Linked DNA regions of Daphnia pulex. The protein of the gene in region 2 interacts with the protein of the main gene of each other region in a pairwise test. Links are inferred from orthologs where the notes say so. Each region holds a gene or a part of one and is shown on either strand. Other genes may lie near its edges.

Region 1 (4,429 bases), on a different chromosome or scaffold from region 2:
TCAAATCATGTGAGATTGTTCAAATATGCATTACATAACCGAAATTTGTGAAAGTCTTGTTCGATTTTGCAATTAATATTCAAAAAATTTGTCAAAAAGTCAAAAATCACAAAATCAACTCTCGTAATTCGCTTGTTCACGTAAGCAACGGATTATATACTTACTTTAAGTAAAGTAGTCTGGAAACAAAGAACGATTAGTCTTATTCCTCAACGTCTTTATAATAATCTAGAATAACCCAATAACCCTCCCCCACGTGAGTTCATAGCTCATCCAAAGAAGCGATAGCAAAGTTCCAGTTTGTTTATAAAAAGAAAAAAATGAATTAGATAAATAGATATGCCGGTTGCCGGAGGGAAACAAAATCGTCTGCTCGCGTCAAAGCGCGACATTTTTTAAACGCGATTTTTTTCTTCTACACTTCTTGATTTGACTTTTGGGTTACTTAAATAAATTAGTTAATTGAAAAGATCAAAGTGATCAAACTAATGCTGGAAGAAAAATGATAATAAAATTATAATTCATTAAATGGTATGAGTTGTTTGATTTAAAATAAATTCTACTTACTTTAAATTGTTGTTAATTCTGAATTATTTAAATTGTATACTGTACATTATTTTATTCTGTAATCAATAAAGATTAATAAAAAATCATGAAACATGCTCAAGAATTCCTTGAGCAATAAGCAACTCACACTGAACACGAGGTAAGAGATGCAAGCTATTTTTCTTCAATACAACAATATCCCCATCCTCAGTTTCAAACTCTCCAAATTCAGTAATGCATTTAACTTGAATGTAGAGATTCTTTGGTGGTTTCAAGTTCTGTGTTAGATCAAGTGAGTAACTTCCTTCACCAATAGATTTCATATATGCAGCAAGGGATTTACTATATTTAATAAAGAACTGAGCTTCAGGCTCACAAATGTTAGCCTTGATATCTGATGGAAGGACAGAGCCAAAATGCCAGCGGTGTTCTTTTATACGTTCAAGTCTATTGTAAAGGTAGGCCATCAGGCATCTAAAATTTCAAAAGTAATAAAACTTAATTAGGAATTTTAATGAAAACACTTCAAACTTTCAGTGGTTACCTTTTGTTTCTTTCCAGTGCACAGTGTCGGATGTGTACTGAAGTTATGTATTCCGATTCTCCAGCAACAGCAGAGCTCCTAAAAGTCAAGTAATGTATACATAATTCCCTTTTATATGTTTGGATTTTCTTACGCATCTCTTTGATTTTCTTCAAACAAAGCTCTCATTTCCTCGAGTACCTGACGGACTCCATCTTCCTGTTTTTGCAAATAAAAATAAAAAAGTTTTACTACTTTCATCACAAAATATTAAAACACAATTACATTGAATGGTGGAAGGAAATCTCTTGCTCTTTCCAGTTCTTGTACCAGCTCCACTCCTTTTTGTGCAAACATGACGAATTTTTTATGCGTAAATACTTTTAATTGTTCATTCAATTTCAATCTAAACAAGGAATCGCAAGGAATGCACAAGCACAACTGCACACACAAGACACAGTCACGAATAGGCGGGAAATGATCAGCAGACGAGACGAAACGACGAAACTCAAAAGCTATGATTACATGGTTGCGTTTTTTATAAATATTCGCGCTTACGGAAAAAGCGCAATTAATTTAATTTAAACCAACAAAACCAGAGCCATTAACGTTACATTAAGTTAATGGCTCTGACAAAACAACAACAAAAAAATGAAAAAAAAAATCGACAAAACTCAAAATTCCATAATTTATATCCAGCACCAAATGCGTGTAATCGTGTCTTGTCATCTCAAGCATTTCAACAGAATAGATTTGGCCGAAGATTTTCTAATGGGGTGGTTTGAGAAGAGATATCATAATTAGGGTAATATGTGGATAATATAATTTATCCCTGAGAGTAATATTCATTCTTATGAATAAACTGAAGGTTTTATCTAAATCTATTACAATTACCATATCTCATCGGCATGTTTGGTCAGCCCGAGGGAAGAATGGAAAGACGAAGGCGTGTGAAAAAAGCTTCTTCTTTTATTCTTCCTTCGAGCTGACTGCTGAACTACCAGAATCAAACATGCCAATGTTTTTTAAGCTTTTACATTTGGTGGCATTTGAGAATGACTGCACCAGAGTTCGGGTATTTACCTGAAGAGCAAGAGCGAAAAAAGGTTGCACTCTTTGCTTTTCGCGGGTTATTCTAACTCTGGCTGCCACATTATTTTAAGAGCTTTTCAAGCGTTTAGTTGAAAAAATGGTTTTAAGTGCGCGAGCGCGACGGCTTGACTTTTGACTACTTAAAAACATTTCCAGTTACGGACTAGAAAACACTCTAAAAAAATACTTTGAAAAAATTGAAAGAAAACATCACAGGGAATTGGTAAAAACCAACAAACAAGAAAACAAAACAAAAACAAAGTTAGGTTATTGAATTGAAGAAGGTACAACAGTAACAAAAATTTCGAAAGTGACGCTAGATATCTTCAGGTTTTGTCAACTTCCCATCTGGATGACTTGCTTGATGACAGGACTGGATTCTGTTTGGTGTTTAACGGTTGAACTAAACCATTTTATTCTAGGAACTCACTTTCAGGGCTCCTTAATTAAAAGTTAAGAGTTAAATTACAACGTGATGTTAATCAGTCAAAGAACACCGTCCATAAATGATGTGGGGGTGTCGCGGGATTTTGAACGCCTTAACCGGGGGAGAGGTAGATATTTAAAATGTTATTAATGTCCATTATCGAGAAAAACTGGGTAACGTCATTTATGGACGGTTGAAAAATTAAGTTTACTTACATAGTGTGAAACCACTTCATACGAGCAAGCCATTTTTCGTCACGCGACATTTCTCTTGCATCATCAGCATCGGTCCTCGTAGGCAGGTTTTGATTTGCTGACCACATCTTCCGAAATTTCTCCACTGCAATAACTTTGCCGAATCTAACAACAGTTCGAACAAGTGGTGTGTTCAGAAATCTAAACACCATTTTCTACTAAATAAAAACAAAAAAAGGCATGAAGGCCGAGAAAGAGCACGGAATAAACCGACAACAAATGTTTCTATGGAAAGTTGAACGAACGAATGGTTACAAAAGATCAAATGAGACAGTGCTTGAAAACTTTTTTTTACATTACCACGAGGAGACGCAATGCAAAGCTGTGTTCATCAAGAAAAAGGCAACCGGCATCTGATCGAAAGAAAGAATATTCTGCGAAGCTCATGCTCCGAGTTCCTCTCACGAGACCGCCCCTGTTGCTTTTTTCCCGCGTGAAAAAGTAGGTTACAGTACTTTCTCTTTTTCATCGTTACACGAAGGAGGAATTGAATTTGGCAACAGACGACAGATACCGTGTACCACGGAAATAGTCTTCCCTGCAGCTACCGGTCAAGGCTGCGGAGGTCGTTGTTCTTCCTAGTACCTTATATGGAATACAAACCAAAAGACATTTTGTTGTGTCTGGGACATACAGTAAACGAATGCGACCAAATGGACGCCTGGCCGGCACATTTTGATATCGTTTGAAGCAAGGGAAAAATAATTACACATGTCAGGAAACACATGTCGTTGGGGTACGTAAATTTTAAATATTGAACATACGTTTTGTATATTAACATTATGAGAGTTCTTCCAAGCTCCCAGCAGTTCAAGAAATGTTAACAAACATATGCAAATCGATAGATAGTTCTGAACTGTAGACCTACAGTGTGCTTGATTATTTCGTTCGGTAGGCTATAGGCCTTACAAACTCGCCTCAACAAGATCTCCCGACGACTCTTCAAAGAATACTCTGTGTGAAGTGGCAGGACAATTTCAGTTAATCAGAATACACCATAGCAGGACCACAGTAGTCACGAAGGAAAATTTTCTATGAAAATGTGATCGAAAGTCACAATAATAATTTTAAAAAAAAAAATTGAATCTGTTTTGTCAATTTAGATTATATATTTTAAGTTGTCGAATTTAAGACTTCCATTGAGGGAATTCTTTGTTTAGGGAGTCAAGGAAAAGTATTTCTAACGATATACGAGGGTGAACAGAAACAAACGTTTAAATAGACGGTAGGCCTATACGGTTGTGATTTCTCCATGAACAGGCAATAATTTGTGAAAGAAAGTAATCAGTTACGAACATATCATCGGGAAATTTGTCCTATTCTGTGCAAATTAATCGAACTGAGACGCAAGAAGGGAATGTGTCAGTCGAGAATATCTTTCTACCTCTTACCGAGCGTCATTGAGACAAATGATTCAAATGCGTGAGCGTAACAAATGGATGGCGAGATGTTGACTAGGTAGCTTGAGAACATTTCAAGCGGAAGTGTTGGAATGTTATTATTCCGAGGAGGATTCGGGTTGATCGATTAGGGACTCGCGCTGCTCTCCGTCGTCAGTGTAGTCCATAGACCGGCTTCTATTTGTAT
Region 2 (6,154 bases):
GTTAGGTGGAATGCTGGTGGAATCTTTGGGCTTTCCTCGCCTGATGCTTTGCATGGGTGTTTTGAATTTAGTCTTTGCTCCACTGGTCCTAATCCTTAAATCCGATGAACCTGAAAAAGTATCTGAGCTAACTGCTCTGACGTTATTCTCGTCTGATCACAGGGGATACAGTCGATTCGAAAATGAGGAACTCGAGAATGTAGATGAAAAACGTTAGAAAATTTGAAATCTGTATGAACGGTTTTTCTCATCAATTTGGACATTGTTATTAATACCGAGCGGTTTCGTCAAATATATATAAATAGACGTGTTTCGAATTATTATTACACTGGAATTTAAGACATGGTTAACTGTCTCTACGTCTTGAAAGTTCTTTTTGATAGTGTTAGATCTTGCAACCCGAACATGAAGGTGGATTTACTGAAATAGATGTCGACTGACGCTGGAATCTTCTAATAGCCGTCTCTCCATGCTGAATACCTGAGCCCAATTTATTGGGGTCAAGTTCACCTTTAAATATTAAAAACAATAACAGAAATTAATTTTGATTATAACACAAAATTTAGGATTTACATTACCCGTTTCAACTTTAGAAAGAATGGTCTTTGCACATTGCAGGAATGCCTCTTCAACATTTTCACCGGTTAACGCACTGGCTTCTAGGAACATTAGATCTAAATAAAAAGAAATCTTGAATTCGACAAATGTTTACAAACTATTACTTAAACGAATAACGATTTACCATTTTCTTGTGCAAACTGAGAGGCCTCTAGAAATGAAACTTGTCGATCTTCTTCTAAATCTCTTTTGTTCCCAACCAACAAAACAACCAAATTGGGATTTGCTAAATTTTGAGCGTCAGTAAGCCAATTCGAAACGGCGTTGTAACTTTCTCTCGAACTGATATCGTAGACCAAAAGCGCTCCAGCCGCTCCTCGATAATAGCTTTTTGTAACGGACCTCAATTATTACAAAAAAATTAGCATATTCAACTGATAGTATTCAACAAGAGACAATTGTGATACTTGAATCGTTCCTGTCCAGCCTGTAACACAAACAATGATTTAGCTATTAGGTAAACCGAATACAATTGAATATGCTATATTACAGTGTCCCATATTTGCAACTTCACTTGTTTTCCTCCTATTGTGACAATCTTTGAACCAAATTCCACGCCAATGGTATGGCTGCTGTCTTGCTTGACTGTGAACCAAGAGAAAATGTAAACAGGGAATTCTTAATAAATATGCATTAATAATGAATTATGTTGTTGCAAAAAAAAGTCCTGTTAGACAAGCTGTAAAAGCAACTGCAAATTTACAGTACGAAACGAACAATCTACCTTTCATATACAAGACAATTTCATTTGTTGTGTAACTATCTACAAACTATCTACACATTTGAAATTTTACAATACAAAAAAAAAATAAAAGCATGGCTTACATTTTTTCTCAATGAAATGGTGTAATAAGCAGGATTTTCCTGTGCCTGCACTGCCAATGACAAGAAATTTGAAAAGGAATTCTGAATAAGATAAAAGTAGAATTGATTAGCATTGTGAATTTTTGAACAATAAAAAAATGGGTTGACGTTTGTCTAATGAACAACAAGTAAACAAGAAAATACTACCGAAATTTTCAGCCATCCTTGGGCATACAATTACGGAGAAAGGCTATATTATCAATAAACCGATGTAAAGGGTCTCAGTCTCAAGTATCAGTAAGAAACTGTCAAAACCAGAAATCAACTAACAGGATGTAGCTTTGTGATTGCAAGGAAAGTGATTGGCTATATGAGTTCATGAAGTCTAACAAGTTAGTTAGCAGACGTTTTTTCTCGGCTCAAAAAACAACTTGGTCATTAGCGCCACCTTTTGTATGTTGTATTCAATAGAAAATAAATTAATTTTTTGTAAATTTACCTGTATTCCTGAAGAAATTTTACATAAAAGTTTTACAAAAAGTGTAGCTTTAATTAAATTACAACAAATTGACCGTATTATTTTGCAACAAGCTTGAAATTGATCTATACGGAAGTAAATGTTGAGAATTCATCAGCAGTTCCACTTCTATTTCACCCCTGATAAAATCAAATAAGAATTTTGAATACAATGTGAAGAAAAAATTATTTGAATTCAATATAAACACTTACTCGCTAGTGCCATCGCTCACAAGAACTGAGGGGGCATCATCCTTAACGCATACGAAAACGTAGCTATCTCGGTTTGGAGTTGTAATGAATTTTTGGGTGTTGATTTCTCTCATGTTTGTAGGCATGTGTCTGAGTCCAAGAGTTTTTAGGTGGGTTTCTGTGTTGGAGTTTAGTCTGTCAAAAAACAAACAATATGGTTGTTAGAGGAACTTAACAAAAATAACTGGTAATACTATACTCTTGTGCAAATTTTAATTCATCTTCTGTAAGCAAACTTGGTTCATTTCGTTGTCTTTTGTTTTCATTGTTCAACAAGTAGCCAAGGAATTTTTCTATTTTCTCCAGACGTATTCTTAGGTATGATGTAACTACATAGCGTATTCTTTCAACCTAACATATGTTTTACAAATATATTAGTAAAGGGGGAAGGGCATAATCTTGATTTAGTAGTTCATACTTCCATTCGATGCAAAGCAAATCGAAAATCTGATTTAGAAATGGCCATCAGATTCTCTTCCATGTTCTTTGTCTGCTCTAAAAGACAGTCAACTAGCTCAGTCTGTGGAGATAATAATTCTGGGGCGAGCATTTCATTGAGCCAGCTCTTGACATACAATAATACAGAGGAATGTCAACATCAAACAGGACATTTTTGGCACGTCTAATCATTCCAAACCTCTTCGAGTTTCTTGACGGCTTCAGAAGCAGATAAGAATTCGGCGTCTTCGGTCTCTGATATAGTATCCGCTGTTCCGAAAAGATCACTTAGTTGCGTTAGATTTCCGGAATAGGAAGCCATTATTATTCTTATTCAATCGTAAACGAAATTTTACCACAAGCCGACTGCTATTTGACAGGAGAGGCCTCACAAAACAACGTTTCCCGCCAAAAACAAAAACATCGTTGCATGACTCGGCTAATGAAGCCAGAGCTCAAATGTTCTATTTTTTCCTTGGATTATTGTTCCGTTCTAAACGGGTTTGTTCTTCAAACATTTGCAAAGCAAACCTGGCCCTCTTTGAAAAAATATATCAGTTTAAGCTAAGCGTGTCAATCGACAACAAACAAAACAAGTCGTTTCTGCCATTTGGTTAAGTGCTGGCTCATCGACTTTAAGAATACATTATGCAAATGCAAGCGAGCGGAAACCATGTATATTTTTAGTTACATCTTATATTCTAAGAAAAGATGTTGTGATTTGGCCAAGTTTGTACCGGGCGGACGGTAGTGCCTTAAGGTAGAGCAAGGTAAACAATAGTAAGGCAAACCATCACGGTATACTCGACATTTTGTTCAACTTGAATTTTTTTGCGTTGGCGTTTCGCATTTCCTTCAACTCCTGTTCCATCACAGTTATCGGTGGAATTGGACGGCGAAAAAAGAGAGAACGTTAAAAATGAGGACAAGATTTCGAAATCGAAAGAAGATGGTTTGTTCCTACGTGGCATCCGTGTTCGCGAATACGCAACATCCTTGTAAAAATAAGCAATCTAGTGCTATTATTAGATTACGAAATGTACAGAGATCGCACGACGAGTATTTATTATTTACAAGAAAAGACATCCCTTTTGCGTGGTCTGCTGTACAAACCGTAGGTATATGTACGTATAATTACGTATCTGGCGGCAGGTGGTTAACTAAACAGAGCGGACGTTGAGTGACGAACTGCACATGGACCGTTTCCAGACGATCATTGAAATTGCTGCACTCGGGTCTAAATAAAACCGTCACATAAGGAACTCTAGTTTTCATTTACGCCAACTGTAGCACAAAATGCTACAGTAAGAGAATTAAGGGGTAGTAGTATAGACGGAGAAAACAAAACAAGCTTTTCGGGTTGTCGTGACGTGTTGAGCGCCAAGAAAAAACTAAAAAGAACTAGCGAGGCCGTATTCAAGAGACCGGCTCAAGCATAGCGGGCGTTCAGTCTGTAAGGATCTGGCTAGCGGAGCTGGCTCGATCACTTAAAGCTCCTTCTTTTAGTCCACGAGCAATAAAAACTGCATATCGTTTCGAAAAGCAAAGTTCCGCAGTTCGCACAGTGTGGGGGAATCGACGTCGATTTCTTATTGGGAATATCAACAGCTAGCTACCACAACACATTTATTATCGAGAGGTGAAAACAAAAAAGAAAGTCGATTTCCGGAGTGCGCGCGCTGGCGAATTACATTCAATCTCCTTGTCGCCCGCAAGCAGCCGATATGCGCTGGGAGATAATGCAGTGGTAAATCACAAAATTTTTATCTTCAATATTTTATTTAATTGCTTTTGGTCAGTTCCCATTCACGGAAACAGCTCAAAAAGTCGTTGACCGGATTTCGTATGAAATTATAAATCGATTTAGACTACATATCGATAGCTTAGCATCATCGATTTTATGCGTTACCCAACCCCTTCCAACAAATTTTGTTTCGTCTGCTCTGCTCAGCCGCAGTCCGAATGTGTCGACAAATATGGCGTTCAACTGTTCTATAGATTTCTGCCAAACTACTGGTAAGAAAAGCTGAAATAGATTTGTTTTGGCTAACTAATAAGGTTTTCTTTTCCTCGAGGAAAGTCCCGTGTGATTGAGCAATTTGAGCTTGTTGGAGAAAAATCGATTTAGGCAACGATCTGGTCTGTGTATACGTGCTTTGTTGGAGGGCGAACTACTGGGGTTTTCTATCATTGACTGATTTTTTTGTCTGGGGTATGACGGCTGGTCTCAAGTGGGTATGGCCGGGATTATCCCATTATTCATTCATGTTGGTAGGAAAAGTGTTTGGAAGTTAGTGAAGTGAACGTAACCAGCAGATCCAACCTAAATTTTGTTACATTTCCAGGTTAACATAATTGTGGATTGAGCAGAGTCAAGTGGGTGATGGAGTATTGCGTTTTCTCACTTTCCAGTAGACAATGTCTCCCTTCCCAGCGCAGTTGCCCTTGTTCAGCAAGAAAAACAAAGGGGTGTCGAGTGATAGCAGGATTCAATCAGTCTCAAAGAGCTAGTGAATTTGAGTCAGTAAGGAAGGTGGAGCATTGGGCAAAAAGTGGCAGAGACAGTATCTGTCTCGGCGGTACGATCTCGTCGACTAAAAATAGGAACGGTGGTGTGGCTTTTTATGTGTGTATACATCTTCGGACTTCCCCAACTAGACTATATTGCACGTATAGGAATCGCTCGCAAACACACCTTGAATCCTACGTTTCGCCACTGTTCTGATCGATCCAAACATCCCAAACAGAACCAGTTTGCCTGGGCCGTTTTTCTCTGTCTCTCCTTCTTTTTTCCCCCGTTGAAAAGGTCGCGCTTGTACACACATTTCAAGGTTGAATATTATAGGAAGTTGAGTCGACAAAGTTAGCCACTGAAAATCTCTGGTCGAAGCTGGAATTGGCGCTCGTCTCTTTCAAATGATGTATTTATACCAACAGGACTCTATCTAATTCAAACTGTGTGTGTGTGTGTGTGTTTGCTTGCTTGCGTGAGTGCGTGCGTGTTGTTGGCTATATGCCCGTTGAGCAGCAGCAAACATGAACGTCTCGTTTTCTCTTTTGTCGTGATTGTTTGTTGAAGCTGATGACCGCGATCTGAAAATATCTCTCGGGGCGGCCCCCTGTCTCTCGTCGTATTCTTCGGCTTTTTTATGCCCCCAGTCCACCTCTACCCCCCTTATTTTTCGGTGCTTTTCAGATGCTTTGATAGTTTTGAATGGCGTTTGCTAGAAGTAGAAAAGCGCCATTTTCTCGCATTCGTTTCCTTTTTCTCTCCATAGTAAAAATTCGGGCGACAACTGATTGTTGGTAACGCAGTTGTTTCGTTTGTTGTGTAGTGGTTATAAATCAGTCGCAGCTGGTTGGCTATAACGTTTTGACCGTTTCCCGGTGCAGTACGGTGGTACGGCGTGACAATGCTCCATTGTCTCATGTATTACGCTTGCCGCCCACACAGAACCGTCAGTAGTACGAGTCCCGTCTGCAACCCCCTGTTTTTCGGTGGGGGGTATGCCCGGCTTTTATTGGT

The links. The genes of interacting proteins can lie anywhere in the genome.
Region 1: the proteins of DNA replication complex GINS protein SLD5-like (region 2) and DNA replication complex GINS protein PSF1-like interact in a two-hybrid assay, tested with the Drosophila melanogaster proteins (2 studies listed by BioGRID). The link is inferred for Daphnia pulex from reciprocal best matches to the Drosophila melanogaster genes Sld5 and Psf1.

What each region holds. Positions count from the first base shown.
Region 1 is NC_060027.1:3,076,629-3,081,057, reverse strand, and holds DNA replication complex GINS protein PSF1-like, read right to left. Parts: upstream 1,528-4,429; 5' UTR 1,427-1,527; coding exon 1,355-1,426; intron 1,289-1,354; coding exon 1,224-1,288; intron 1,169-1,223; coding exon 1,091-1,168; intron 1,021-1,090; coding exon 651-1,020; 3' UTR 605-650; downstream 1-604. Other genes in the region: solute carrier family 35 member F5-like, read right to left, coding at 4,341-4,419.
Region 2 is NC_060022.1:2,232,497-2,238,650, reverse strand, and holds DNA replication complex GINS protein SLD5-like, read right to left. Parts: upstream 3,486-6,154; 5' UTR 2,951-3,485; coding exon 2,828-2,950; intron 2,756-2,827; coding exon 2,609-2,755; intron 2,542-2,608; coding exon 2,390-2,541; intron 2,326-2,389; coding exon 2,152-2,325; intron 2,080-2,151; coding exon 1,980-2,079; 3' UTR 1,908-1,979; downstream 1-1,907. Other genes in the region: synaptic vesicular amine transporter-like, read left to right, coding at 1-217; ras-related protein Rab-4B-like, read right to left, coding at 386-510, 579-674, 743-960, 1,026-1,045, 1,109-1,203, 1,444-1,524, 1,630-1,645; tau-tubulin kinase homolog Asator-like, read left to right, coding at 4,529-4,644.